3 linked regions of the Danio rerio genome follow. The protein of the gene in region 2 interacts with the protein of the main gene of each other region in a biochemical or structural test. Links are inferred from orthologs where the notes say so. Each region holds a gene or a part of one and is shown on either strand. Other genes may lie near its edges.

Evidence for each region.
Region 1: of the proteins of nedd4l (region 2) and ndfip2, one has a biochemical effect on the other in vitro, tested with the Homo sapiens proteins (2 studies listed by BioGRID, with this or other methods). The link is inferred for Danio rerio from reciprocal best matches to the Homo sapiens genes NEDD4L and NDFIP2.
Region 3: the proteins of nedd4l (region 2) and ube2kb form a complex in vitro, tested with the Homo sapiens proteins (2 studies listed by BioGRID). The link is inferred for Danio rerio from reciprocal best matches to the Homo sapiens genes NEDD4L and UBE2K.

Annotation. Positions count from the first base shown.
Region 1 is NC_133176.1:6,778,192-6,788,162, reverse strand, and holds part of ndfip2 (NEDD4 family-interacting protein 2), read left to right. Parts: intron 1-5,712; coding exon 5,713-5,875; intron 5,876-9,396; coding exon 9,397-9,527; intron 9,528-9,971. UniProt on the Homo sapiens protein: Activates HECT domain-containing E3 ubiquitin-protein ligases, including ITCH, NEDD4, NEDD4L, SMURF2, WWP1 and WWP2, and consequently modulates the stability of their targets. As a result, may control many cellular processes.
Region 2 is NC_133196.1:12,328,968-12,339,609, reverse strand, and holds the start of nedd4l (E3 ubiquitin-protein ligase NEDD4-like), read left to right. Parts: upstream 1-4,185; 5' UTR 4,186-4,505; coding exon 4,506-5,582; intron 5,583-10,417; coding exon 10,418-10,468; intron 10,469-10,642. UniProt on the Homo sapiens protein: E3 ubiquitin-protein ligase that mediates the polyubiquitination of lysine and cysteine residues on target proteins and is thereby implicated in the regulation of various signaling pathways including autophagy, innate immunity or DNA repair.
Region 3 is NC_133176.1:24,893,047-24,903,572, reverse strand, and holds the start of ube2kb (ubiquitin-conjugating enzyme E2Kb (UBC1 homolog, yeast)), read right to left. Parts: upstream 5,982-10,526; 5' UTR 5,529-5,981; coding exon 5,466-5,528; intron 4,814-5,465; coding exon 4,720-4,813; intron 4,624-4,719; coding exon 4,565-4,623; intron 2,043-4,564; coding exon 1,960-2,042; intron 1,545-1,959; coding exon 1,445-1,544; intron 1-1,444. UniProt on the Homo sapiens protein: Accepts ubiquitin from the E1 complex and catalyzes its covalent attachment to other proteins. In vitro, in the presence or in the absence of BRCA1-BARD1 E3 ubiquitin-protein ligase complex, catalyzes the synthesis of 'Lys-48'-linked polyubiquitin chains.

The sequences.
Region 1 (9,971 bases), on a different chromosome or scaffold from region 2:
AAAAAAAAAAAAAATATATATATATATATATATATATATATATATATATATATATATATATATATATATATATATATATATATATATATTATCACGCATGCTAATCATTTAGTTTTAAAGTTGAGAAGCATGCTTGACAGACTTCATAAGAAAAAGATGATTAATTCTAGCATCCCAATGGCCAGTGTTGTTTACAACTTTGTCTGAATTGTAGGCTAACTTTGTTTCATTATTATTATTAATTTATTAATGTTGTGCAGTCTGGTCAGTATGGTCAACTGATAGTACACAGTTTTGTTTAATTCATAGGCTATATTGAGAAACATTAATAATTTAGAAGCACTTAGTCTTTTTAAAATCTGTGTTAAGTGACTGGTAGATTGCATTGGTAGTCTTAATGTTTTTCCATCCATCCATCCATCCATCCATCCATCCATCCATCCATCCATCCATCCATCCATCCATCCATCCATCCATCCATCCATCCATCCATCCATCCATCCATCCATCCATCCAATAATAAAGAATGTAAAATGACTGTTGTAACATAGTAATCAGAGTTATTTAGTGCAGTGTTTCTCAACCACGTTCCTGAAGGACCACCAGCACTGCATGTTTTGGATGTCTCCTTTGTCTGTCACATCCATTACAGGTCTTTCAGTCTCTGTTAATGAGATGATGATCTGAATCCGGGGTGTTTGGTTACGGAGACAGTAAATGTGGTGGTCCTCCAGGAACGTGGTTGAGAAACACTGATTTAGTGAATTTAATTTCATCTTTAAAAAATAGAAATGTCAAAATGTTCTATTCTTAAAATGTATATTTATTTTTGCACGTGTAGTATTGCCTACTTAGTTACATTCACTGTATTTTAATTTTATTTTCATTAATATCAAGATTGTTCTATTGGACAACATTGAACAAGAAAAAAAAGAAGATGAAAAACCAAATATAAAAGCAAAAAAACTAAATATAGAGTAGGGCTGAGTGATATAGCAAAAAAAAAAAAATCAGTTATTGTCTTTAAAAACGTCATGATTTTCGATAATGTCTACCCCGCCGTTGATGCTAGCATCCAACATCAATTTCTTCATGATAAAAATGGAGAAGGACAGCCTTAAAATCAAAATCAAATCACTTTTATTGTCACATCATAAGCAGCACGTGTGCTGTGATGAGTGAAAAGCTTAGGTGCTGGCTCCAGACAGTACAAAACACAGCAAATACAACGACAGTCCAAAATACAGTAAGTGCAAAATACAAACAGTACAAAAACAGCGATAATGTGAAATTGACAGCGATATGTACAATGAATAGGCGTCCACATTGTTGTAGGCAGTATTGTTTCAAGTATGAATTGGTTCAAGTGCAGTGCATGCCACATATTGATGGTGTGCAGTGAGGGTTATGGAAGAGTCTGTGTGTGGTGTGTTAAGTGTTCATCAGCCTGATAGTCTGAGGGAAGAAGCTTTCCTTCAGCTGGCTGGTGCGTGATCGGATGCTGCGGAACCATCTGCCTGAGGGTAGCCGAGAGAAAAGTCTATGGCTTGGGTGGCTGGAGTCACTAATAATTCTCTTGGCTTTCCTCATGCACCGCCTGGTGTAGATGTCCTGGAGGGAGGGAAGTCCAGCAGTTCGCACAATCCTATGTAGGCCTTTGCGATTGCTGCTGGTGCTATTTCCATACCAGGTGGTGATACAGCCAGACAGGATATACCTAAGAAAGGATCTTCATGCATTGTTCAGCAGTATTTTGGTTTCAAATCGTGTGGCAGGTGCAAATGGTAAACCAGAATATGCGACTATCTGCAGGCTTTGCAAGAAAAAAGTAAAGGTATATTTCAATCCAGCTTAAAATACAGTAGTATAATATTTTGTCCATATGCCAGCCCTAATCTGTAATGTAATCAATAATCGACATGGTCTTAGTATGCATCATAGATATATACATTAGATGTCGCCTACCCTGTTGTTGTCTATTGGAAGGAATGCGTCAATAGAGCCGCCATTTTGGAACAGGGTAGCGCTGCTTTGAAATGAATGCGGGACCAAGGTACAGTGGAGGACTGTGGCCATCCAAAGCCAGAGATATACACATATATCTATGATCGGGAGTTTTCCTGGACGTTAGAATGCAATTTTCTTTTTAATTACGAAAATTTATAATTTTTCATCACTTTTCTACATTGATGGATCAGTGATCGCACTGGCATTCCTGACAAAAAGCTTGTGTTTGTGTGTATGGAAATGTACTATCCACCCTCCATGTTAAATTTGATCTAATCATGTCCTGAAACACAGCTCCTCTCCTGCTTTCACTTCTCATACTGACGGAGGGAGTGATTCGTTTGTGAATGAATCTCCGTTATGAACGACTCTTTCACTAGCCGATCATACAAGTTTCTGGCACCGCAGCATCTCGTTATCATATTTCTTTTGCACAGTTTGCTGATTTTATTCAACAAAACTAGCGTGTGCTGAGTGTTTAGTGCGAGTTGGAGCTACTTTGCCTTATGGTGAATGCAGTAAGTGACTGTATTATCATCAATATTGTTACCTGTTTAGCACAAAAGTTCAGAACATACAAAAACGTAAAAAAACTAAACCGTACCGATGAAATGTTCTGCCTTTGTGTTATGCTTTCTTTGTTTGCTCGTTACTACACCCGTAGACTGCTCTAAAGTCCCGCATCTTGACGTAATAACACTGTCTTGACTAGTGCGGTTGAATGACACTTCTCCTGGGAGCACTGTACCAATGTGGCGGCGCTATTGACGCATGCTCAGGGTCCCTATGCGATATCTAGTGTATATGAGTATGCATCCTTCTTATTGCTTCTTTAATCCATGTTAGTAAATGTTTACTTGAAGCTAATTCTACTGGCAGCAAGTCAGTGCTTTTCTTATTTTAGTATTTTTGGTGAACACTGATTCTGTGCTGTTTTAGTCAAAACAGAGATAAGATATATTATTAATCTCTAGTCTGGCCAGTTTTAAAGTATTTCAGTGCTCACCACTAGAGATTCTTGTCTTCTCGATGGCTGTTTATGTATTTATGTAATGCTCATGAAGGTTGTCTACTGGTTGTCTTCAATGCAGAGCAAGAAAGCGCACGTGATGATAACCGTGTCGTTATTCACATGCAGACTTCATTGAATCTCTAATCCCATTTCTATTCACATTTCATCAAGGCTAGCCGCTGAACCTTGAGCATTGACCTATGCATGCAGAGAGTTCTGTGGCTCTCAGCCCTGTCAGGCGGCCTCAGATACTATCAGGTGGTGGTGTGGTGTTGTGAAAGATTGTGTCCCAACTTGATCTGCTTAACTGGCAAGCCATTGGTCATCATTTCATTAGTTGTTGTTGGAAGTACCCACTCTAGTCTGAACCCTCTGTAGGATAGTCAATGAGCTGTAAACAAAAGTTGTAGTCATTTTCTGGCCATTGCCGCACGTTTCTTTTGTTGTAGATGTGTGTAACATGGTCTTTATAACAGATTGAGTCTGTGAATCAGACTCATTTCATCAGGTTGTGTCCACTCGTTTGGACGATGCTGACGACACATAAAACAGGTGCTGCTGAAGGATCAGTCTTGTGCCTCCGTCCCGTGGTTTGCATTACCGTTGCTCTCCTGTTACTGCGTGAATCTCGCTGTTGGCAGACAGCTGTGCATCATACTGATCTCCGATGTGCCAAATGCGTCCCTGCAATCTTGAACTGCCATAATAACCAGAGACCGCAATGCTCGGAAAGACATTTTCAGGTCACTTCATGCGGATTAAGGTTTAAGCCTTCTCCATGTTTTATTCAGTGCCTGTTTTCTTGAAGTTTAGCTTTACTGATTGTTTTGTTCTCTGAAGGGCGAGGGCGGTGAAGTTAGGCCACCCAGGAGACCGACTTGTTGACTCGACTTGTTGACGTGTTCTTGCAGTGTTAGATGATATCCTCCTCCCTTCATTCAGTACATTGTGGTGTCTATTTAGTAAACATGAGACACAAGGACTTAGGCCCAATACCAATTCTACCCATTAGCCCTTCCCCTTACTTTTACCCCTCGTTTTACGCGGTCAGGTGAAGGGCTGTCCCAATTCTATTTAGCTTGAAGGTGTAGGACTAAGGGGAAGGGCTAGGTAGCCCTTGAAACAGATTTTCCAGGACCACATTAAAGACCAAGAGGTACGAAAATTTCCCAGAATACTCCATTTACAAAGGCAACATGGCTGCATGCGAGAGTCAGGAGGTCTACAAATACGTATTTATTGGCATTAAGAGTTTTCACAACTTTTTAGCTTTCCAAAAAAAAAAATCGAATGGGGATTGGGCCTCAATCTTAAGGGGTTCCTGTTATGCTTTTACACTTTTGACTTGCATTTAGTGTGTAATGTTGCTGTTTGAGCTAGGAAAGAAGTTAATAAAGCACTCTATATCTGTTATAGTGAACAAGGCCTGAATCTCTATATCACTCTAAGTTACTCTATATCAGTAAGAACTCTATCCCCCGGTTTCACAAACAAGGTTTAAGGCTAGTCAAGATTAAATTGCATGTTTCATCGGTCTCAACTCAAAGAAAAACTTGCGGTAAGATGTCTTAAAATACGTCAGTGTCATTTTTTTTGTCTCCAGGTGAACACCAGTGATATATTTTTCTAAGGCCATTTTTATAAATGTGGCTTAAATAGCCTTATTTAACTTAGGCCTAGTCCTGGCTTAATCTAAGCCCTGTTTGTGAAACTGGGCCTATATCTTTGGTGGATGAGAGAGCTTAACGCACTGGAATTAAAGGCTGATGTATACTCCTTCGTCAAGTGCACGCATATATATTCGCACAACCTACATGTGGACGCATAGCCCTTACAGTGGCGGTCACCAACGTTGACACGTACCTCTCAAAAAATAAAACTACACAACGCAACAACTCGTAGCACAAGCTCCGTGATCGATTGGCTTGGTAGCGCTGATGAGTATGGGTGGAGGTGAGAGCCGCACGAGCCCGATGGAGTGAGTGTTTACAAGTGTGGAGTCCCATGAAGGAGCTCTAGATGGAAACTGTGGCTTTGAACTCTATTTTGAAGATCCAGGCGCAAGGTCCAAGGCGCAGCGATTTGTTTTAAAACTATTTCTAAATTCAGTTCTAATAAGTAACATAATAATAATAATAATAATAATACAAATAATAATAATAATAATAATAATAATAATAATAATAATACAAAAATGTATACAGTGCCCTCTGGTGGATTTGTCATCTAAAACATGCAGCAAAACAAACCCATAGCAATGTATTTTATCTTCTGTTAAAATGTAGGCTGAGGAACGTATTACTGGGTTGAACATAATGGTGTGTCCAAGAAGACTGGAACCATTGATGACTCAATAACTTCATTTATCTGAACTGATCTTCAAACTTTGCAGTCCTTTGTTTTACATCCACAAACAGTAACGTTACACACTACATGATAGATCATTTCATGGAAATAAAAGCATAATGGTGCACTTGAACAACTCTTAATGTCGTCTTTCTTTAATAGTTGTGTTTGTGTTCTTCCTCAGTTGCACAGTGAGGATGACTCCTCTGAATATTAAAAACACTGTGGCCTTTAGTTATGTGATATGATGTGTAAAGAATTGGGTGCATCTGAAATAACGGTGCACTAGAACAACTCAAAGTGGTCTTTCTTCAGTCTGAATAGTTGTGTTTTGTATGCCTCCTCAGTTGCACAATGAGGATGACTCCTCTGAAGGGGCCGCCAGTGCTGAACCGTCCACATCCACCCAGGCCGTTGGCGCTTTGGAGGGAATCAGCAACCTAGCAGTGGATACAGAAGCTCCACCTCCTCCATATGCAAGCGTGGCACTTGGAGCAACAGCTGCACCAGGTATGGAGATCCAAAAAGATTGATCATTTCCTCATTTGATCTGATCTGATTGATCATTAAAACCCTCGGCCAGATCACACGATTTTTATTGTCGGTTATGAAAGTCAGATTATGTGGTTATTGTCTTGATAAAATTTTGATTTGTCATGGGAATCAACTGTGCCAGACTACATGTTCCTTCACGATCAGTTATTCCGGGACGTCTACGATGAGCGTTATTTCCTAAAGCAGTCACAAGTGTTGCAATAACGATATTTCTTACCTCAATTTCAATATTTTTTTTTTATCTTATTTCAATCTCTGTAAACACTGATGCTTGCTGACAACTAGGCTGCATTATTTAAAGGCATTTGTTATGACATTGATAGGGTCAAACATATATTTTCTTTTTAATATTAAGATATTTTCATTTAAATCTAAATGTGTATTTTTCAGCCATGGGCTGCTTATTAAACACTCCCTTACCTGAACTTGCCACGAATGAGACGGAGAAAATGAAAGCACATCAGCACCGAGGAAAAATCAGATGCTTATGACAAAATAATGATATATTAAAAAAAATTTGCAAATATATGACAGAGGTGGTGACGCAGTGGGTAGCACGTTCGCCTCACAGCAAGAAGGTCGCTGGGTCGATCCTCGGCTCAGTTGGCGTATCTGTGTGGAGTTTGCATGTTCTCCCTGCGTTCGCGTGGGTTTCCTCCGGGTACTCCGGTTTCCCCCTCAGTCCAAAGACATGCGGTACAGGTGAATTGGTTAGGCTAAATTGTCCGTAGTGTATGAGTGTGTGTGTGTATGTGTGGATGTTTCCCAGAGATGGGTTGCAGCTGGAAGGGCATCCGCTGCATAAAAACTTGCTGGATAAGTTGGTGGTTCATTCCGTTGTGGCGACCCCAGATTAATAAAGGGAATAAGCCGACAAGGAAATGAATGAATGATTGACAGAGGTTTGTGATACAACAGTTACAGTGGAGCATTAAATCCTTATTTTCCAAGAGCGAAACAAATCATCCACCAACACAGTTCAGTAGTGGATGGGCACAAAAAAAGAAAAAGAGAATAATTTGTAAATTTTTCTTGGAAAGAATATTTGATTTTAAACAAGTTTTGTTTGTTATAATTTGTATCTTAATTTTAATGTAGTTTTTGTTGGTCAGTTATCTACCAGTCCGCTATATACTTCAGCCACCCATTACTAGGCTAAATATGCAGCCTATTTTTTGATTACTTGACCCGCTGAATGAAGGCATCACCGTTCATCTAACTGTAAAATTATGTGCTCCTATTGGCCATTGTCACCCACGTGACTGAACTGTGACCAACAGGAAAGAAAATGAAACATTCTAGACTTTCTGGGATGGTGTCCTGAGAGGTGGTATCAGTTGTCGTGAACTATGCCATATTAAACGAGAAGAAAGGATTGAATCTTGTGTCACAACACCCATTTGTTTTTTTCGACTCCCTACATCAAGGAAATCGTGCCGAAATCATGACAAACTCATGTGATCTGACCGGGGCTTAAGACAATACTGTGATTAAGAGTCAAACTTTTGATGACCTTAATTCGATTTCTGCTTAGTTCCATTATGACTTTAGTCGGATTAAGACATGTAGGCCCAATCCCAATTCTATTTTTGTACCCCTTCCTCTTTCCCTTGGCCCTTACAACAGAGGGTTAAGGGGAAGGGCTTCAAAAGTTACCCCTAAGAATTGGTGCAATACTACAACACCAGCACACGGCATCAAATGTCCTCGCGATTTCTTGCTTCATATGAGAACAGACGATCGCGACTGCTGGAGTGATTCCAGTTGTGTTATTTTTTGGTATTTATCTTCAGGAAATCACTGAAGGTATATATTATGTTATCATAATGATCTAATGAGGCAATAAGATCGTAATATTGTGCATTTAACACAGTGGCCATGCTCATCAATGTAAACACACAAAACAGCCTTAACATTATAGCAGACACTGTAAACAGCTTATTGACAGCCACTAGTCTTTTTTGACAGGGTATTCCAGTGTCATCGAGTGTCAGAATGTTGTGGGACTGCTGTACAGGAGTTATTATTAGGGATTGCAGATCGCTAAAATTATGCAATTTTTTAAATTTTTTTTTTTATTTTTTAATTTAATTTTTTTATTTTATTATTATTATTTTTTATTATTATTATTATTATAATTTTTTAAGTATGACGGTAAAACACGAACGAGGTTATGAATATAATAAAATGTGTTTGTTTGTTGTAAAAATTAGTAATAATGACAAAAAATACTAATTTGTGGATCTAATTACTTCCGGGTGCAGCTGTTGCTGGGGTATTCTGGGAAATTTTTCTTACTTTTTTCAAGTGTGGTTCTGAAAAGTCTTCGTTTAAAGAGGTGTATACCCCTTGCCCTTAGCCCTACGCCTTCAAGCTAAAGAGAATTGGGACACCACTACCCCTTCAAGGGCACGCGCAAAATGAGGGGTAAGGGGAAGGGCTAAGGGGTAGAATTGGGATTGGGCCGTGGAGTGTTTACATGGTATACCCTTAATCTGATTATTGTATTAAAATCAAAGTATTAGTGTCCATGTAAACTTACTTGATTCCATTGAAAGAAACTAAAGTTTTTCCTCTCACTAGAAGTAATTCGGTTAATCACAGCCATATATTTATTCAAAAGAGATGTACTGTAGGTGTTTTATCCAAGCTTTAATGGCAGGGAAAGTCCCTTAAACTTGCGAGCGGTCATGTATGATGTATTTCTAAGTGGTTATATTTTCGCAATTTCACAGGAACTGATTCAGAATTTCCGTATAAACAGATCAACCTTTTTTTTGTGTGTTGTGCAATGCAGTAGGGCCTTTTTTGATGCATGCTGCATCATGTCTGCTTGTGAAAGATCAACTATTTATAAAGAATGATCATGTGACTTGCATCCGCCATATGCTCTGCAAATGGCAAAAAAAAAAATGATGTAAGGACATTTTTGCCGAATTGTCATGTTTCCATTAGGCAGATTTTCAATTCACTACTTAAAGTGGGACAATTTGGCTGAATTTACACTGCACTGTTCAAGTGACTCAATTCCGAATGTTTTTTTTTTTTTTCTTCTGTCATGTGGCACAGATCGGATATGGCCCATGTACTTGTAAGCAGGAACAAATCACATGGATTCCGATTTACTCAAATCAGATTCATGCCTTGTTCACTATAACAGGTAAAAAGAATTAATAAAGGAACTCGGCAGAAAAGAAAATGAATGAATGAATAAATAATTTAAAGATATTCTGAGGATATTCTCAATATAAGTGTGCCAAATATTATTATTATTATTATTATTTTTTTTTTTTTTACCAAGCACAAGGCAAAACCTACTGCTTATGATCACTGCATCACAATTTTTTGCATTAAGGAATTTTTCTCACATCTCTAGAAATGAACAATAGTAATAGTGATTGTGATGCTCCTTTGAAGACTCGAAACTAGAAATGTGTGACGAATGGCTGACCTATGTTTTCTCAATTGTTTTTCAGAGAGCACATTTGCAGGGGACTTTCCCGTTCCTCCACCATACAGCATTGCCACGTCTCTGCCCACTTACGATGAGGCAGAGAAGGCTAAAGCAGCAGCCATGGCTGCATCCGCGGTGGAGGTCATTCCACGAGTGAGTTTCTCATCCGCCTACAACACTACATGCTCTGCAGAAACAAATACCAAGCCCTCGATTCACACGTCTTTCCACTGGGACTCAACCATTTTAGAAAATAATAGATTTTAACCAGTATTGAGATGGGGATTTTTATCTTCAGTATTATTAAAAATAGACAAGCATTCGGTTAGAGCTAAAGTACATCTAGGAGGTTGTTAGCGCAGAATAAAACTTTACTTGATTATCGGCTTTTTGTTGACTGAAGGCCTTTATTCTTTGAAAACAACTATCCTCAATGTACTTTATCCAGTTTATTACACTGCTACTTGCCACAAAATATAAAAATTGTACACAAAATATTGTAGTGAGCCAAAATAGTTTATTAATTCTCTAATTAAATGCAAAGCTGACAGAAAGGAAAGCAGCTGAATAGAGCTGATGGAGCTTAAACTAACCTGC
Region 2 (10,642 bases):
AGCTTTATTATATACTCATATATTCTTATGTAGACAGTTTTGCAGAAACACTGACTGCATTTTGTCGTTGATTATCTCAAGTACAGATGATGATTGTCAGTCATTGTAAGTAAGTATAGCTTTCGGTTTGGAGGCAGTGAACAGGAATGCTCTTATTGTGTTTGTGCACGAGTTGTTACAGTCCACAGGGAAAGGGTTGTTGTCTCTCGTGTGAGAAGGTTTTGGCTGAGATCCAATGCAGAGCTGAGCAGAATCTGAGGGTTTTCCTTATATGTCTGAGAGGGAGTGCACGTATGGTGTCCCGCTGGTTAGATACAGATATAATGAAGGATTTTCACGCTTTCTCGCGTACATGCTCTCTTGGTCTATTTTTGTCCTGTAGTTATCTCTTTAGTTTCTTCTCATTAGTACTCTACTCATTCCTATTGGCTGATTTCTTAGTTTCTCCGTTTCTTACAATCTTGCTTTTTCAGCAAGAGTGCCCATTTAAAAAAATACTATAGGATAAACACTGCTGTGTTTTTAAATCCTATTATAGTGAATTAATCTGTGGTAATTCTCTAATGCAACATATATTGTAATACAGTATAAACAAATTACCTATGTACAGTTGAAGTCAAAACTAGTCTAATATTTTCCAAATCATACCTGCCAACACTCCCGTTTTTCCCGGGAGTCTCTCGTATTTCAGACCCATCTCCCGCTCATCTCCCGTATTTTGCTATCTCCCGGAAAACTCCCGGAACTCTCTAATAATCTGTTATTAGAACTAAGTTATTAAAATTATTATGTTTAGAAATGTGTTGAAAAAAAAATATTTTTGTTAAACAGAAATTAGAAAAAAAATGTAGAGGGGGCTAATAATTCACGAAGGCTAATAATTCTGACCTCAACTGTATGTCATCGCACAATAGTGTTGTCATGAGTACTGCTTTCAGCTTTGAACTACTGTGAACTGACGGTTAATATTGCTGTTTCAGATTTTCATTATCATTAAAATCATGGTTTTAACTGTAAATCCCGTAACATTACCTAATTGCAATCGCAAAAGGCTGCTAAGTAAATGCATGTTTAGACATTATATAGTTAAAGTAAGTTGTATTCATTTCATTAAAGTGTGTCCTGCACACTATTGAGTATACGGAGTTAAAGATTCTAATCATAATATCAGTCAGACAAATCTCACAACCCATTTTTGGCTTTTAAAGCAGCTTTATGCAATATTATGAAAGATAAGGTAAACATGGATCCCTGTGAAGGAGTTTTCGAAGTGAAGGTTTAACAATAAACGCCTTGAATTATCTGTAGAAACACATTTTAGTTGATGTTTTTTCATTTTAAGATACAAATCTTAGTGCAATAAGTGTGTGAGACGTGTTTTTGAACATTTTAGGTAGTTTTAACAAAAATGTAATCATTTTTGTCACTTTAATCATACTACTCTCATACTCTATACTACAATACTATAGTTTACTGTAGTAAAAAAAATCTAGAGTATTATATTGTTAATACTACAGTATGAAGGAGCCTTCATTACCAAAGTATATACTGTATGCAGTATAATACATTTTACTGTATTATGGTTTAGTAGACTGAAGGATTTACTACAAATTACTATAGTATTTTTGCATGTGAGCGGCCTTGTCATTCCACATTCTTCTGTGCAATTTTTTTTTTGTATCTTTAAACCGCTTAACAGCTAGTTGTAATGAATTCACAGCATGGTGGTTCCCAAATTCCAGTGCTGATGAGTTCATATTTATTAGGTTCTGAACAAGAAGGAGATGTCACGGTGGCGCAGTGGGTAGCACAATCGCCTCACAGCAGGAAGGTCGCTGGTTTGAGCCCCGGCTGGGTTAGTTGGCATTTCTGTTTGGAGTGTGCATGTTCTTTCAGTGTTCGTGTTGGGTTTTCTCCAGGTGCTCCAGTTTCCCCAAGACGTGGCATAGGTGTATTGAATAAGCTAAATTGGCCGTAGTGTATGAGTGTCCAAGAGTGTTTCCCAGTGATGGGTTGCGGCTAGAAGGGCATCCGGTGAGTAAAACATATGCTGGATAAGTTTGTGGTTCATTCCGCTGTGGTGACCCCTGATTTTTAAAAGGGCTAAGCCGAAAAGAAAATGAATAAATGAATGAAGAAAATGGATTAAAAAAATGAACCAGGAAAAGATTTGACTTTTTATCATATCATATAACGTTAAAATCTTAAATTGTTTATTTGTTTTGGGGTTTTTATTGTATATTTATCAATGTAATGTTTTTTTGCAATGGAAATGGATATTGTTGCCAACATGGCATTAAATAAAACAAATATAATTTGCACAATTCTTCAAAGCAGTTTTTGTAGATTGCATTTATCTGAAAATTGCCGCCATGGAGAAACTCAACCACTCCAGAGACGTGTGGGTGAGCGAATGTGCTTTTTGAAAACCCAGCCAGGTCAAATCACCAGTTTGCCTTTATTCAATCCAATGTTTATACTATTTAGGTTATTAATGGTTTGGTTTTTAAGAAATGCATGCAAAATAAATGCTTTGGAAAGTCGTTGTTTTTGTAGGTTGCGCTGTGGAAGCCCTCTGTCGTAATTCCCAGAATGCTTGGCACTGTGAAACTAATGCTTACGGCATGATGTCTCCGTTCTTTGTCCGCAGCTCACCCACTGCAGGGCTTGTGTGCCCTCCAAAACAATGCCCCCTTTAGAAAGCGCCCACACTCTCACAATCAAGGCCTTTCTTTCAGTCGCAGTCTGTCTCGCTCACTCCATCCAATAAGATGCTGCACTGACTTCATGGTTTAGGGTAGGCTGGTGTTGCTGAAAAGACACAGTTCTAATGGTGTTGATGTGTACAAGAAGACTTATTTTATCATCTAATAGCTGAAAATCATATAAAAAGTCAGAATATCCACCTAAAATGTTCATTAAATTGTTTAACACTCATTGTCTAATTTAAATTGCATGGATGTTGTTGTTGGCTTTTATACATGCAGTATTTCATACTCCTTTGAATTAAGTTGCCTTTGCCCTCTATTTCTCCTTTGACAAATCAGGGTGTATGAAGTGTCTCATCGAATTTGAATACAGACAGTGTTGTATGCTCTCTCTGGATTTTAACATTGGCTTTAGCAAGTTGCTCAGGCTGTCAGCAGTCTGTGTCAAATGTGGTATTCTCATACCTGTGAGCAAAGGGTTTTAGATACTGATAAAAAGATTCTGATTTGGCAGATTGTGTTTGTGATAAAAAAAAATAAACACATGGGTTTTATTCAGCCCACACAGACTTTGTGAACAATGTATTATTTGCAGTAATAGCTGTATGTTATTAGTCTGATTTCCTGTCACTTTAAGGATTTCCCCCAATGAATAATTCGAGGTGGTTTTTAACCTGCACAAAGTTAAATTGCTTTGTTGACTTAGTTTAGGAGTGGTCTTGATTGTAGATTTTTTTTTCTTCAACTGCTCTCAAGACTTTGCCCCGGGCTGCATCCTGAATCATTGTTATTGTGTTGAAAGAGAGTGACTGTCTTGTGGTCTAAAACTTCCCTTAAGTGTTTTTCTTTAATGCAGACGGAACATTTCAGCCATGCCAACCCTTAAGAAGCTTGAGAAATATTGCATGTCTGTACAGAGGCCCCAACATAAAAAGCTGCAATGTTTTTCCAGCTTTTCCTGGATATTTCCTGCTAGAGAATGTCTGTAACGATAGTGGTAGACCTCTAATACCTCTTCTGTTTACCCATATATGTCTGATTGATGAAGTTCTTCGTGCTTTGATTTGTGTTTTATATGTATATAAGTATATAGGAATAAGTAAGACTAAATTCTTACTTTACCAGTTTGAGATGTGCACAGCACCTTGTCCCAACTTGGCTTGGCCCAGTGTGCCCTGTGTGTGGGATGAGCACGAAGAATTATGAGCTTGTGGAGAGTGTTTTCTGAGTCAGCTGTGATCCCTCTCTTTCTCATCCCACCCCAGGCGGTCTAGGTCCTTCTGACAGATCAGTAGCAGCTGAGAGAGTGCTGTTTGGGTCTATCCGAGAAGTGGGGGTGGGTGCCTACTGGATCACATGACTTCGGCCACCCTACCCTCACCTTTGCTTTCAAGAGCACCAGGCGTCCTTATCCAATCATGCCTGGAATGTAGCTTGCCACTTGGGCTATTTCTGCTGTTTGTCGCTATCAGACTGCAGCTTGAACAGTTTGACACATGGGGTAGTTTCTTTTTTTTTTTTTGATTTTCCTATCCCTGGTTCTTTCTAGCTTTTTCTTGCGCTCTCTCTCCTCTCTCTCTAAAGCTTGTGGGTTGAACTTTTAAGCTCCCTGGCAGAGCTTCACTGGTAGCTGTGAAACGAAACGCAGCCTCTGTCTGTGAGTAAGGGAAAGAGAGAGAAAGAGGGTGGATGAGCAAGACAGAGAGAGCAAGAGCAAAAGGGGAACAGACACACTAAACAGTGGGTGAGACAGATCCAGCAAAGGCTGGACAGAGACAGATCAGGGCGGACAGGAGAATGTCTCACCGGCTTCGGTTGTATTTTGGATCTGGTCGCAGTAACACTGCTCCAGAGTTGGAAGAGCTGAATGGGACAGTGGAGGAGGAAGGTGACATAAGCTACAACAGTACAGGAGCCATGGTGGTCCATGCACAACCACGTAACGGAGGACATGCAGAAAGTCCAGAACCAGGCACAGTTGTTGGTTCGGATGCCTCTCTAAAGCGAAGCTCTTCCATGTTCATCCCACAGCTCCAGGGTCAAGCTGAGTCACGGACAACCAAGAGCACCTCTGTTCAAATATCTCTTCAACGCACAACTGCCCCTCATGAAGATGCATTACCCTTTGATCCACCTCCAGCGTACCCCCAGGATCCAGCTCCACCATACACTGAACCTGGTGAAAGTTTGCCCTTACCTCCACCTCCAACCTACTACAAATCCTGCCAAAATGTGGAACAAACTCAAAAAGATACTGAACCTAAGAGGCAAGTCTTTTGTGTCCGGCCATGTGATGGTCAAAATGGTTATACCCATGGAAATCCTCAAGGGATCACTATTGGAGGTGTCTGTATTAGAAGAAGATCTGCAGATGGCTCGGATGTCCAGCAGTTCAGGATTATGCCATATAGCGAGGATGGGCACAATGGGCACAATTGGTCTGTCCAGCAATGCTCAGACAGAGGTCCTGGTGCACAAAGACTAATTTTTCAGCTCCAAAAGGACCAAGGACGGCAACCAAGCTCTACCTCTCAGCCTGACGTGAGTGATTTAGGCATCACAGGTTCTAAAGGTTCCCGCTTGGTGCGGTACCCCAGGATTCGACTTGAGCGGAGCACGTCACAGCCATTGCAGCCTAGAGGAGCTCCTTCACGCCTTGGATCAATGCCAAACCTTCATGCTCCTATCTCAGAAATGGAAACGGAGAGTGATTTTATTGAGAATGGTGCTCAAGGTTGCACTTTCAAAATTAGGAAGGAACAGAATTCCCAACAACCGAAGTTTAAGATTTATTTCAGCCAGGGCGGCGAGCACAGTCCCATCCTCGAAAGGAATATTAGCATTGGAAAGGCGCCTACCTGCAGCAATCCACAGGTACTGCTGAGTGTCTAAAGTTAAGTAATATTTAATCTGACCGTGAAGTGCATAGTTTTATTAACAAGCAGTTATTTAGTTGCTCAAACTATGCTGTAGGGTGTAGAAAGCTTTAAGTGTGTTTTAATAATTTGTAAGTGGCTGGAGAATAGGAAAAGCATATGAAAAAAATAGGTAGCTGGATTTTCAGTAGAAAGAGGAGGTGGGTTCAGAAATGACTTATTCACAACCCACATTCTGGGAAGTGAAAATTCCATGAAAATAGGGGCCAGGAGCAAGACGTAACCGCACTGTCTATGGTTTCCTAACAAGCATACAAACCCTTAAACTCAAGAAGTGGAAATGTATGGGGACTGGAAGCATTTTCAGACTGAACTTCATTCATAGTGGCCACTTGTCTTTTTCCCCCTCTCTTGAAGAGGAGCCTGTTCTATCTTTAGTCCCGTGTCAAGTGTTGTTGTTGGTTTTGAAAGCAGCCTTTCTCCTTTGGACTGGGTTACCGTTCATCTCTTGTGACAGCTGTTCTGTGGTGATTAAGGTCTAATATATGGTTACACATGCTGCTGTTCTTGGTATCTCAAAGCTTTTAATTTCCCAACCCTTAAGTGGTTCCAAACTTTTATGAATTTCTTTCATCAGAACTTTCTGATTTCTATTTCTTTCTAAACTATTCCTTTAAGCACTTATTTTTTCCTCATATATTTGCCACTTTTTGTCACTCCCTAGAAGTTGAGTTTTTTTACAGGCTTTGAAACTCCTTTCAGTGACTCAGAGTAGTGCTGAAAATCTGTAAGTGTGTGGGATTTGTCAATTTGTCACCAGTTGTTACTAGTACTAGAACTAGTATCTATCCTTTACAGAAGTTTAGGTTTGCGTTCGAAAGTTCTGGAATCTCTAAGACGTCCACATTTTAGAATATTCCAATGTCGAAATCAGCACTGTCACACGCATACCTTCAGCTTCTGTGGCAGCATATGTATTTCCAGTACCTGCTGAAAAGGCTTTACTGGAAATGAGTCAGTCAAGAAGCTAAATGTTCCAGCAGCAGAGTTCATCAACTGAAGTGAACCGCTCTCGCGCAGATCTGTTTACTTCATGCTGTCATGACTGCTCTTATGAACGCCTCAAGCAAGTCTTTGTTGATGCTGGATTATCTCTGAGGATAAGTCTTGTAATACATCATAACCTGTGGAGTTCTTGTTTACAAACAATACAGAATACAATACACTTCTGTTAATATTTGATTTTAACAAGATGATTAGCAGAAAACAATAGCTTTCACATAACCATATCACATTTCGGAGATCGTCCATTGCATCCATCCCCTTGTGGGAAGCATGGATTTCCAGTAGACTTGCCAGTGCTCTCAGATTAAAGGGGCACATTTTTTTTTTTGGAAATAGGCTCATTTTACAAGTCTCTTTGACATAAACAGTTGAGCTTTACCATGTTTGAGTTATTCGGCAATCTCCAGGTCTGGCAGGAGCGCTTTTAGCTTTGCTTAAAGATGTTGTTTCTAGGTTGATATAGCTGGGAAATACACTACCTGAAAATTGTTCTCAATCCCAGTTGTAAGAGTAAAGAATAATAACTTGTCTTCTAGTTGATCATTTGGAAAATTGGTAACAGTTATATTTTTTCAACACATAAACTGCAGAACACTTATTGGAACCTGGAAGGGCCCAAGATTCTTATAGAAATCCATCAAGTTTGGTGTAGGAAAAATCATGGTTTGGGGTTACATTCAGTATGGGGGCGTGCAAGAGCTGCAGAGTGGATGGCAACATTAAATGGCTGTGGTATCAAGACATTTGTGGCAAATTCTTTAGCAGGATAGCACTCCGTCTCATGCTTCAGCCTCCACATCGAAGTTCCTGAAAGCAAAGAAGGTCAAGGGGCTCCAGGATTGGCCAGCCAAGTCATCAGACATGAACATTGAGCATGTGTAGGGTAACATGGAGATGAATCCATAGAATCTTGGTAAACTCTGGGAGTCCTGCAGGAACACTTTCCTAGCCATTCCAGATGACTTTATTAGTAAGTTATTTGAGCCATTGCAAAGATGCATGGATGCAGTTGTCCCAGCTCATGGGAGCCATACACTATATTAATTCTTTTTCCACTGCACCATAACTTTATATTCTATACTGTACATTATTTCTGTTCAGTGAAAAGACTTTTGTCTAAGCAAAGTCAGACCTTACTGTCCTAATTAAATAATTAAACATCAAAGCATGATTTAATTTTGGTAAAATAAGCATAATCTAGCGGACTTTGCCTTTCATATAAGCCACTTATAAAATTAATGATCAACTCGAAGTAAAGTTATTATTTGTTGTTCCTAAAACTTATAATTCAATTGCAATGTAATAATCAAGGAACTTTGGTGCAGTATATCATAGCTGCTTGCAAAATTTGCCTTTATCCCCTAGCACACATGTAACTAAAGAAGAGAAACTCTACGAATTTTTAGGCACAATGCAAACAATCTTTTAGATTCAAAGATATATGCTAAGCTAAGCTTAAAGTGCTCCTGCCAGAACTGGAGATCAGCTGAATAGAATTAAAAATTGAACTGTTCCAAACAGTCTCACGGGTTTTAGTAAGCATGATGAGGGGATGTGGGGGCAAATCTTGCTCAAGTCTGCTGTGGCAGCTTTCTTCCAGAACTCAGGATTTAGTGGTTTAAAAAAAAACCTGTGCTAACAAGTAAGAAAAGAACAGTGAGAGAGTTTGAAATTGAGGATACATGAAAGAGTCAAGCTATGTCAGCATTTCCAATTGCTGTGGTACCTTGTTATTGTTGTCGGACTGGAGCACTGCACCTAAATATAAGGGGGCTCCAGACTTATTTTAGCTTACTTCCAGGTTTATTTTAGCATCTCTTCATGTTGCGGCTCAGTTGTCGGAAGTTTTTCCCCTCAAGTCCTATTTTCATAACCCCTGACCCTGACCTTTGCAGTCCAACTATGTGACCTCTGAAGCTTACAAAGTAATACGCTTCTTTTTTCTGTTTTCCTTCCTTTTGATCTGTTGTTTGGTTCAATTTGTTTGTGTCTCTTTTTAAACATGGCCTCTTGGTTCTAACTTCCCTGCTGTCTTGATTTCTGCTTGTTTTGAGTTTCTGTGCTTTTCGGCCTATTTAACGGCTTGAGTCGTCTGCTAACTCAGCTCCGTTCTGGACGATGACTAAGCAAATGCTTATTTTTAACACTCAGACCAATGTGTGGGAAAAAGTGCTTTCAAGGTCATATAAAGACATGATATCTTAATGCTCTCGAAGTCGCTGTGAAGTTTAAAGTGATCAGTTAAATCATTTTTACTTCTTCAGAGTATCACGTTTATTGCAGTAGGATAGGAAAATAGTTTCCTTAGCGACTAGAGCTTTTGCCAAGACACAAGGGATGCAAATCTTCAACAGCGTGACCTTTAAGACTCAAATCCCTGGTGGAGCTTTCTAGGTCATTCCTTCGTACCTTTTGGGTTAATGAATTTAGCTTCTGTTTGTGATTCACAATTGCTCTTGGTGGCTGTAACCCCATTTGACTCAACTCCTTAACATTTAATCAGAGTAATGTCTTAGACATGGTGTGTTTTCCATGATGAGGAGGGGATTGAAAATGTATTTGTGGTCCTGTTGTTCACTCACCATCAAAAATAGTGACTCGTACTTAACCTTTCCACAATAAAACGTTATTGACCATAAACTGTACCAATTCTTTTGTTTTGAGGCTAACTTTTACTTTTACGTCACTTTACTTCACTTTACCTTACTTTTATTTTACTTTAAATTTATTTTAGTATTTATTTTATTTTTATTTTGTTTGACTTTTTTCTTCATTTTAGTTTTTTTTTTTACTTTTGTTGTTTATTTTTTACTTTTTGTTTTACTTTAATTAATCTAAATTTGATTATGCTTTATTATGTTGTCATCTTTTTTTTAAATATTTTGACTTTAATTTTTATTTAGTTTTTCTTCATTTTATATCCATTTGTTAGTTTATTTTACTTATTTTTTTTACATTTATTTTACTTTTGTTTATTTTATTTCTTAAACTTTTATTTTACTTTATATTATTAATCTCAATTTTATTATACTTTATTATGATTTATAATTTTAAATTTACTTAAATGTGTACAGAAATTTATTTAGTTTTTTCTCAATTTTATTTATTTAACTTTTTATTTTTATTATTTTATTTTACTTTTATTTTGTATTTTTATTTTTACATTTATTTTTATTTTTACTTAGTTTTATTTATTGTACTTTTATGTTTATTTAGATTTTTTTTTTACTTTTATTGTACTTTATATTACAAATCTCAATTTTATTATATTTTATTACTTTTTATTTAAATATGTTTTACCTTTTGGTTTAGTTGTTAAACCAAAGTAAACCAATTTTTTATTTAATATTTAAAAAATCATTTTTACTTAATATTTAAAATAGTTTTAATGTTATTTTATTTATTTTTATTTGGTTGATTAATTTTTTGTTTTATTAATTATTATACTATATATTTTTTCTCTGTTCATTAATAGTTTTATATGTCAAATGATTTTCTGTTTGCTTGTTTAAGCTTACCAAAGAACTCAGATTAAACTCTTACTTTTGGAGTGTGTTCATTTCTAACGGCTCCGTTTGTATCGAACAATGTTATTCCAAATATAGTTCTTGTACTAACTTAATTCACAGTGTTGCATTAATGTCATCTTCAATATGAAGCATATTCATAACTACCGCATTCACTTATTCCGAGGCCTAAACCTTGTGCACCCCAGATTGGCTGTATGTACTCGTCCTTGTTGTCTTAATAAGTTTATTCCACACACAGGCTCACATTGGTCTTGATCGGCCCAAGAACGGTCATTTCAACAATGGTCAGGTAATCCACTGGTCAACCATGACCCAACTACCTGACAATCACAGCTGACAATCTCACAGTTTGGCTTTTTTTTTCGGAATTGGTGGATGGATTGAAGGCTTGTGATTGGCAGTAATACATTAATACACTCCTTCTGACTTTGACCCTCACTCATAGCCCATCTGCTGCTCCTCA
Region 3 (10,526 bases), on a different chromosome or scaffold from region 2:
TGTTATACCATTCTTACGTTATATACAAGTTAAGTGCTTTTACTGCCATTTTATTTAGTATTTTAGGGGAACAGTATCTCCAGCAGAAAAGGAACATCCACATCAAAAGCTACTGGTCAGCCCACATCTGAAAACCAAATCATTTATACGCCAACATCCAAGCATGCTATGGACCCTTATTTATATCCAAAGATAAGAAAATTATCCAAAGATGCCTTTTCAAATGTGAAACTATAAGTAGAAGAAATATAAAGAACATAATAAACACAACAGCATGAAAACCTTAATATTTTTATCCAAGGTTATTATACCGTCAGAATCTTATACTGGCCCATGCCTACCCAGAGGACCTACTACCTACTCCGGCTTTGTTTTGTTTCCAGTCGAAATATCCAAAAAGTTTTAAAAATCAAGAAGCATTTTCTAAACAAGCAAAACATACTGTCTTGTTTTAAGAAATATGTCAAAATTAAGGTAAAAAAAAAAGTTAAATAATCTGCCAGTGGGCTAAGCAAAATAATCTTATGTCAAAAGGGAAAACAGGACAATACAATATGCTTTGCTTGTCTAGAAAATGCTTTGTGATTTCGAAATTTTTAGATATTTGGACTAATGAAGTTTGGCCTACATGCTCATTTTTAAAAGAAACTTCTTTGGTGCATCAATCTTGTCAATGCTATTATTCAAAAAGGAAATGATTCGCACTTATCAAGTAATTGCTTCGTACTGTTTTTATTTTTACATTCTACGTTTGATTCAACGTTTCGGCACAATGCCTTCCTCAGTGTGTGCAATGTAGATATTTGGACTAGAAACAAAACAAACTTCTTCCCAAGAAAAGTACTTATTGCTTAGTGCTGTAGTGCACATCAAATAGATGCAACGCTATCCCATGATGCCACACGTAAGAGAAATTAATGAATGGACAAAGCAAATCAACTGACGCAGGTAGGTCATGTGTAGGCCCACACGAAATCTGTGCGCGCAAAATTCCGCAGGTTTTTAGCCCATCATTAATTCTGTTTATTTCCGCAGACTTTTAGCCCATCATTAATTGTTTATTTACTTGTGTAAATGTTTGTAAATCTATATTCAGTTTTTAATCAATAACAGTAAAATTGACTAATATGAAAATATTCACTTGATTTTTATACAGTGCATATTTTCAGTCTTTTAGTAGATATACGAGAGACTTGCTTTGTTTACCAAATAAAGTGAATCTAATTAGATTTGCATTTTACACATTCAATAAAAGTTAAAAGATAATGTTTTTTTATTTCACATATTAAGGTTTTAGTTATGATTCTAATCATTCATAATACTCACGCATTGTACTATTTAAAACGTACCTTTCTAACTATCATGAGGTAAATTCAGATGAATAACCTACTCGAGTAGTATGTGATTTCGAACGCAGCCACTGACAGTGCATATTTGACTGTACCTGATTGGCTACCACAGCGTCCTGTGGATCATCGGGCTCTGCTGCAGCTAACAGAGCCTGTAGTGAGAGCAGAACTGTTCGCAGAGTCATAGCAGCAGCCCTGTGCACAGGATATGAAGACACAATCATTTGAAAAGGGAACAGGAAGGAGAGAAAGAAAGAGCAGTGTCAAAATTATTGAAGGGTTCGTTCACCCAAAATGAAAATGCTGCTATCATTCACTCAGCCTCCACTTGTTTAAAAGCTGATGGACATTCCTTTTTCTGTTGAACACAATTCAAGATATTTGGAAGAATAATGGAAACCAGTAACCACTGACATCCCTAGTATTTGTTTTTGCAACTATGGATGTCAACAGGTTTTCAACATTTTCATGATATTGTATTTTGTGTTCAACAGAAAACAGAAACCCATTAAAGTTAGGAACTACTTAATTTGGAGTTAACTTTGAATCAGTTTTCATTTTTAGTTGAACCATTAAATTAAATGATGAGTCATGATAATGAAGCACTCACCACTGGTCTTTTAAAATGTCCAAACATATCGCCCCGGTAACAGAACTTATATTGGGATGCCAGATCTTAGTAATAAACCGCACCTGAAAAAGATGACAAAACTCATTTTAATTTATGATATATTTATTTGCTGCGAGTTGATATTAAATTCTGAATGATCTTCTTTGCCTTGTTAATGCACTCAGAATTGTCATCAATGAACAATAATCTGAAATTGAGGTGGGACTGAAGAGACTCAAGAGTAAAAAATGAGTACAATTAATATTCTTTCCTTTTTCTCCATTCATCACGTCTTTCAATGTAACAAATGTTCAGAAACAAAAACATCTTGTCTATAACATTTAAAACAGGAATCATTTGTTGCCTCTATATAAAAAAAAAATTGTAAATCTTTGCCAGTTTTCTTTTACCAACTCATGTATTAGGATGACGTTTTTAATAATTTAAAATACCACAAAATGTAGTTGATAAGCTTTTATTCTTAACCTAATATATGCATTATTCATTCATTTTCCTTCAGCTTAGTCTATTTCAGAGGTCATCACAGGGGATTGAACTGCCAAGTACTCCAGCATATGTTTTATGCAGAGCATGTCGCCCCAACCCAGTACTGGGAAACACCCATACATTCTCATTGACACACACTCTTATACACCATGGCCAATTTAGCTTATTAAATTCACCTATCACGCATGTCTTTGGACTATAAAGGAATTCGGAGCACCCGGAAGAAACCCACACCAACACAGAGAGAACATACAAACTGCACACAGAAATGCCAACTGGCCCAGCCGGGACCCGAACCAGTGACCTTCTTGCTGTGAGGTGACAGTGCTAACCACAGAGCCACCGTGCCACCCTTTGGGGCATTATTGCAACATTTATTAAAAGATTATTATTAATATTAAAGCTAACATTTTAATATGCTTTCTATGCATGTAAAAACACTGCATGTAATTTGAATCAGACTTCAAAATGTGTCTCATCCTTGACTAAAGATTTCTGTCTATTTAAATATCTTCTAGAAGGTTTCCCAGCAGTTAAAAAAAATGTACAGAACAGGAGTCACACATTGGATATCTGCTTTCATATCGAAATAAATTGAAATGTGTAAGTACTTTGTGATTGCCAATTTATATTCAAATACAAGAAGGCATTTAAATGTTACCAAGAGTAAGTGCAAGATTAGGTTCAGCTGCAACTTTTTTTTTAACTGTTACTTACTGGTTTATTAATCAATTGTTGGGGCATTGCAGATCAAACGACTGAGAATTACACGTTAATAAACTTTCATTTTATTTGGAACATAATAAACAGCAGACGAAACATTCATATCATTACTTGAAGACAAATGATAATGTATATGTTCTAAAATCTGTTTAAAATTTCAAACATGTCTGATATCCTCTGACTAATCATAGCCTGGCGCAAAGGAAAAAAATAATCAATGTCAATAATATAAAATCTGGATCTTTTTTTTTTTTATTTTATTTTTTTTCCTCCAAACTAGCAATGACCCCTCTAGACTTAAAGACAAAGAGAAGAGAGATTTACTTGAACACTTTAACAGTTGTTCATGTGATCCTTCTTCTCATGTCTAGTTTGGTTAGTTCACAAAGTATTACTTTTAGCTTTCTCTCTTAATTCTAAATGTGAATCAATATTGAACTTAAGTGAAATACTTAAACTCTTTAACCCGATGTCTTTAAAAGGCTTTGCATGCTAATCAAATCCAGACAACTAAATTACAGCAGTACAGTCGATTACTGAACATTACTAACCCACTACTGCCTTAATGAATATAAACAAAGATCATCCAGATGCAAATGTTATGGAACTTTTAACTTCATAATAGGGCTGCACAATATATCGCTTTAGCATCGATTTCGCAATGTGATCATTTGCAATAGTCACATCGCATGATAGGCAATGATGAGTTTGTATTATAGTTCATCATGTGCATATGTTTTTGACGCCTGTGATTGTTTAATGTTTTTAAAAGCATTTGGGTATAAGAACTTGAACTATTTGTGACCTTATTGAATGGTTTTTATTTTTATCATTCAGTTACTGTACTTAAATACTGTTAGACCTGGGAAACAACAAACCCCTTTATTTGAATAACATCTTTGTCTTGACTGCATTTACAGATTGTCATGTATGAAAATACTCACAACATATGCAAATACAGAAATGCACTGCAAATAGCAAAGATCACAACAATTGTTTATTTATTTATTAATTTTAGATTTTATAGAGATGCACTCCCACTGCAGAGTCATTCCAGTTGATCTAAGATTAAAAATTGAGTTATTAAGTCATTGATAAAATTGTATTCATATTGCAATATATATATATATATATATATATATATATATATATATATATATATCGCAAAATAAAAAAATATATTTTTATATTTATTTTGGATAAATAACATTTGTATCCCCTTTCATTCATTCATCGTGTTATTTTAATTCCATGTTACACTATTATCTACTTATTTTTATATTAATAACATTCCTTTTTCTTAATAGTATGTCTATGTAAAATATTTTGGCAATATTATATGTAAAAACAGCAGAAAGAATACTTGTTGAATTACCTTGGGTGGATTAAATGGATACGTCTCAGGGATCTTGATTTCTAGTTGATATCTTCCCCCTGTGAGAAAAAAAAACGTTAGCCTGTTATAATCTTATCTCCAGCATTAATCTCCAAGCAAACATTAAAGAAACATCATGTAAAGGCTCTCATTACCTTCATATGGTGTGTCTGGCGGTCCTGCTATTTCTCCCTTTAACTCTGTGAAGTTTTCATCCACCAGATCTACTTTTATTTGATTTTTACTCGTCTGTTAAAAAGCAAAACAAAAATGTATTTAGTAAGGAGTACCATAGTTGCTTGAACAAAGAAACAACCGGTATAGTCAAGTTATGAAGCTGTCTTCTGAACATAATAAGCACCCTTAAAAGACAGTATGATATGAGTCTATGATTCCCAAAAATGCTGTCTGTCAAAGGTGCTGCATTACTTAAAAAAAGAACATCCTAGCTGCCCTGTTAACTGACACCAACACACACAAAAACGTAGGAACACGATCAGTAAACCACTAATGGGCATTTCAAAACAGAAAACCAACCTTAAAACACTGAGTGCGAGTGCTGTTATTGCAGACTATAGAAGTGTTGGTGAAGCTAGCCGGCTAACTATGTCAAATAGCTCCATGGCTTAAGCTCGATGTGTGCCAGCACAAATTTAACAATACTCTGACATGTTCATGAATGAATTAAACATTTAGGTCTATGTTTTCGTTTTATTACATCGAGAGAAGCAAATTTGTCAGAAGTGTGACTTCCGTATCTTAAGTCCATCATATGACAGCTCATGCTAACATTAGCTTAGCATGCTAGGCTAGCTCATTGGGTTTTGTGTGTTCATCGCCAAAAGTCCTTCTGTTTGTTCTTAACGGGCAGGAAAATATAGTAAAGTAGCGTTTTGCAAACCTCTTCGCTTTTCAGCACTTCTTTAAACTCTCGCTTGATCCTCTGCACAGCGATATTTGCCATGGCTGATTGATTCCTCTCTCTCTCACTCTTTCTCTCTCTCTCCTTCTCTCTTCCGCTGTTTTTGAGCCTCCAGTCCGCAAAGAATGATAGAGCTTCACTTTCACACCCCTCTTGCGCTCCTTCGCCCTCTCTCTCTCCCTCCCTCTCTCTCTCCTAAAACAGTACGGAAAGCACCAGAAAAGCACCGGTAAACAAAATAAGAGCCTGGAACACTAAAACACTGCACTACAGCACTGCGTTTGTCCTTCTTTGTTGAATCAGGTGGATGTGTTATGCAGCAGAAAAGCAGAGCTCAGTCTTGACAGATCCAGAATGCGTTCACATCTAGTTTCACTCCCATATGATGTGGTGCTGTCACATGATGTCGTGCTGCTAAAGCTCGGATGCATCTGTTTTACTCCCACGTGATGCGTTCAGAGCATACGGTCCATCATCACCCCTTTCACTGAATTTGCAAACAATTTAGGCCTACACTATTTAAACCAAGTATTAAATCACATGGGTCCTTTTTGATTATTCTAACAGGAACATGAAGATAAATCGTTTGTAGCATACAATATGTATTCACCACCATTATAATACCATGCTAAATCTGAGTTATTTTTATATATATACAACAGTTCTGTCAGGTCCTCGAATCTGATTGGCTGATAGCCGTGATATATTTAAGTAATATCAGCACCAGTACAGCCTCTTTACCTTTTGTGTATTACTCCGCCCACATACAGCCAGCAAAAAGCATATATATTAAAATTAACAAATAAAAAGTTTACACTATGGTGAATAATACAGTGTTTAAAAATAATACAATTGTTTGGTGTGTTGTATGCTATATATATATATATGTGTGTGTGTGTGTGTGTGTGTGTGTGTGTGTGTGTGTGTGTGTGTGTGTGTGTATATATATATATATATATATATATATATATATATATATATATATATATATATATATATATATATATATAAATCTATTAATAAGAACTTTTTTTCGTTTTTCACCTTTCATTTGATAAACAATTTGAAATTAAGTTAAATCAACCATGCTTGAAAAGTTGCATACCAGTTGTCAGTGTGGCAGGGAATGAACAGAGCTCTCTTCCACTTTCAGTACCCGAGACTGAGGTGCCCTTAAGGGTTAGTTCTACCAAAAAATCTGTTATAAGTAATTACTAACAGAATTTTTGGTAGAACTAACCTTTAACATCCTTGTGTTGTTACAACTCCCTGGGACCTTCAACTTCGGAATACAAATTGAGATATTTTATATGCTCAGTGTCAGTAGCTAGTAAGAGCTTGGGGTGACCTAAATCAGTCTAAGCTTGATGTTCTTTGCTGATTGCTCCCCACACATTCCTGTCTCAACTTCCACTATCCAATAAAAATGTGAAAAAAAACCTAAACAATGAAAAAAAAAAATATATTTTACATGACATCTAACACAACACATTTACAGCCTTTAAAGTCAGAAACCCAATCAACATACAAATGTTTTTCATTTCATGTTAATGTTTTAACATGCGGCATAATCTGACAGATGTTTGGTACACAAAAGTCTTCTTGGAGCTTTGTGTGACAGTTGTTTGTATCTCGTATCTGTGTGTGTTTGTGTTCACTTCTCATTGTGGTGATTATGTATTCCCTTGAATGGGTAAAATGTAATTCAACTTCAAAGTATGTGTGACCACATTTGGCCATCACATTATTCATACATCTATCAATTCAGATGCCAATTGACTGCAGATTTTTACTTGATGTTATTTTCTCTATCGATGACCTTTATATTATCTTTAACAGTTGTGTACTTTGCATTTATATTTGTGTTATCTTGTCAATGGGTGAGATTAAGACTGAAACTGCCCTTCTATATTAAAGCCACAGAATAAGATTAGGGAGACAATTAAATATATAGCAAATACAGTTTTAAAATATGGTTAATTAGCATTCAATTGCTTTCTCATATAAACTGCTGCCATGTTGCCTTTTGAGAACTCTAGATCAAGCACATTGTCAAATCAACTGTAGTTAATTCAGATTTGAGAAAACTTTAGCCTCATTTAGGTCCGTCAAACAATACATTTATACAAATAGATTTGTACGGCTGAATGCATCAGAAATAAACTTAAGTCCTTTAAAATAAAACTCATCTTGGTAATAAAAATAAAAAAACACAGGAGTCCCATTTTAAATTTCCATTATTATTTATTAACTAATAGTGGGCATTTTTGTCCCTGATTCATTCTTACTGAATTATTATGCAGTATCACTCAATAGCACTCTTAATTTTTGATGCCAGACTTCTCCAAAATATTGTTTTTGCACAATGCACACTAAACGTGGCTTAATGTCAATTTCCTTTTCTAACAATAAAATATTGTGTCAGCATCAATTGTTGGTTTAATGTGTTAGTAAGACATAAAAGTAGCTACTTTATTTCTACAGTGGAAATAAAAAAATAAATATGAATAATGCTGGTAACAAAGCAGTTGACACAGGCATTTGACAAATTATTTTTTTCCATGCAAGTGGACAAAAATATCTACTGAAATATCTTGACTTGAGAATGAAAACATTTTAACAACTGTGCACAACAACTGTTTTTTATTTATTCATTCATTAGTTTATTTTTTAGATTAGTTCCTTTATTAATCAAGGGTCAACACAGCGTAATGAACCGCCAACTTATCCAGCATGTTATATGCAGTTTATGCCCTTCCAGCTGCAACTCATCTCTGGGAAACATCCATACACACTCTTTCACATTCATGGACAATTTTGCTTACCCAATTCACCTGTACCGCATGTCTTTGAACTGCAGGGGAAACCGAGAAAACCCACGCAAACGCAGGGAGAACATGCAAACTCCACACAGAAATACCAACGAACCTAGCCAAGGCTCGAACCAGCAACGATATTTTTTTTTATTGGAAATACAAAATCCAAATACAACAAAATGGCATTCAACTTTACAAATTGTATCACACATGGAAGGCTCAACACAAAATAATAAAATACAAAAAAAATGTGAATTACAAAAAACATTCAAACTAAAATAAAATTGGGAGTGAAAAAACATAAAAAAAGAAATCATTGTATAACAGTTATCGGCTATGGTAAGTTATATGATACAAATATGCATTTTTAAGGCAATTTTTGTTTTTATTTTAGCCAGGGCATCCGAAAAGATTAAAAATTATATTTTGTAAAGACTTATAAAAGTTCTTTTATAAATACAATGAGTAGGTGTTTTGAAATATCTACATTTATGAATGAAATATTTGGCTTATACAATGATCATATTTATCAAATTGTGCAAAAAATCCTAGTAAATCCATATCTTGTAATATGAAAGTCAACAGCATTCACATTCTTTATTTTTTTCCAAAATGATTGAACTGCAAGGCATGGTGAATTTTTAAAATTAAATTAAAGTGTAAAAACCTATTAGGAGGGTATATATCATTTAATATTTTAAATTGTACTTCTTTTGCCTTGGGTAGACTGATATTGTATGGTAAGCCTTTTTTCGTCCTCACAGAATGATCTCAGAGTCTGCGACATTTCACGTCAGCGACGTGGCTCTCCATGTTAATTCCTCTACACGAACGAGTAAATATTACTATGCTAAAGGATGATCTCATGTATATTAATTACCAGGCGTTCTCTGCGGCCAGTCGGCCTTGTTGATTTGTTTAAATCTACAGAAGACTTATCTCTTTAATATTAATTACGTCTGCAATTGGACGCCCCACGAAGGATACAAATCAACGTCAGCGCAGGTGTTTACCATTCATGAACCAAGCCTTCGCCATAGTAACATTCCTAATTTTGCTTTGCCGATCCTATCAAAACACAGACGGAACATCAGCCGGAGGTGCAGCTCTTTGCCAAACGCCAGTGTACACAGGGATCATTTGCACTGGGTTTGGTCTGTCCAACCGGAGTCTCTCAAGGATCGATATAAACATATCAGAGCTGCTTAAAGCGAAGGCTTTTAAATCTCTTCGAGTGAGTTGTCCAAATCATTGGTAAGATATCTAAATACTGTTTGATTTGCATTGTAGTTTAACATATCATTCTTATATTTCATAATTGCCTTTTTTAACGTTGCCTTCGTTCAAATATTTTGTCTTGGTTAATGAATTTAAGTAAATTTTGCATCCTTGAGGATAGGATTGCAATTAATGCTTACTTATGATTTACAATAGCTTTTAAAAATGTGTTTTTTATTCTTTGTTTATTTTGTAAAAGTTACCTTAAATTATATTGATTGCGTGCTTTTAGAAGCAGTTAGTAACTTTTTAGTGTTTGTCGCTAGGTTGAGTGTAAAGTTTCTCGAAAGGAAGCAAGGTATCTACGACAAATTAACGTAGTAAAATAAGACATTTACAATTGCATCGAATCTATCTAGGTATCTATAAGATGTGTAGTATTACTTTTTTAAATAAGTAAGTAAACGCATCCTTTCCTGAAACTATTCGTTTTGTTTGTTTGTTTATAGTTTCGTAAGTGCTTTCACTTACTAAAACACGGAAATAAACGTCGAGTTTTATATATCTCTACTGGTAAGCACGTAACTCTACTTGAACAAATATTATCAAGTAATCATTACACCGGTACTTGAGTCTCATACTTCATCAAATCATTTCAGACGCGTAATGCTAATTTAATGACAGCGTGCGGTGCTGTAAACTTCAGAGCGCGCACCTCTTCTCATATTCGACAGCTAATCTCCTCATCACAGTATAAACCACATACAAACAGCACACATTTTAAAGCAAAATTAAATTTTACTGCAACCAGCTGTTATAAATGTTTTTTAAAACAAAAGTATAAATGATACTACGCAATTCTCGTCAATTCGGCCTATATGCAAAACTGAAATCGGAGAAGTTCAGGAAAACAAATTGCGCTTGGACATTTTTAGGTTAATACCGTACTCAATGTAACACATTTGTTTCAGAGACAATTTGCCATAATTTTATTATTATTTTTTTT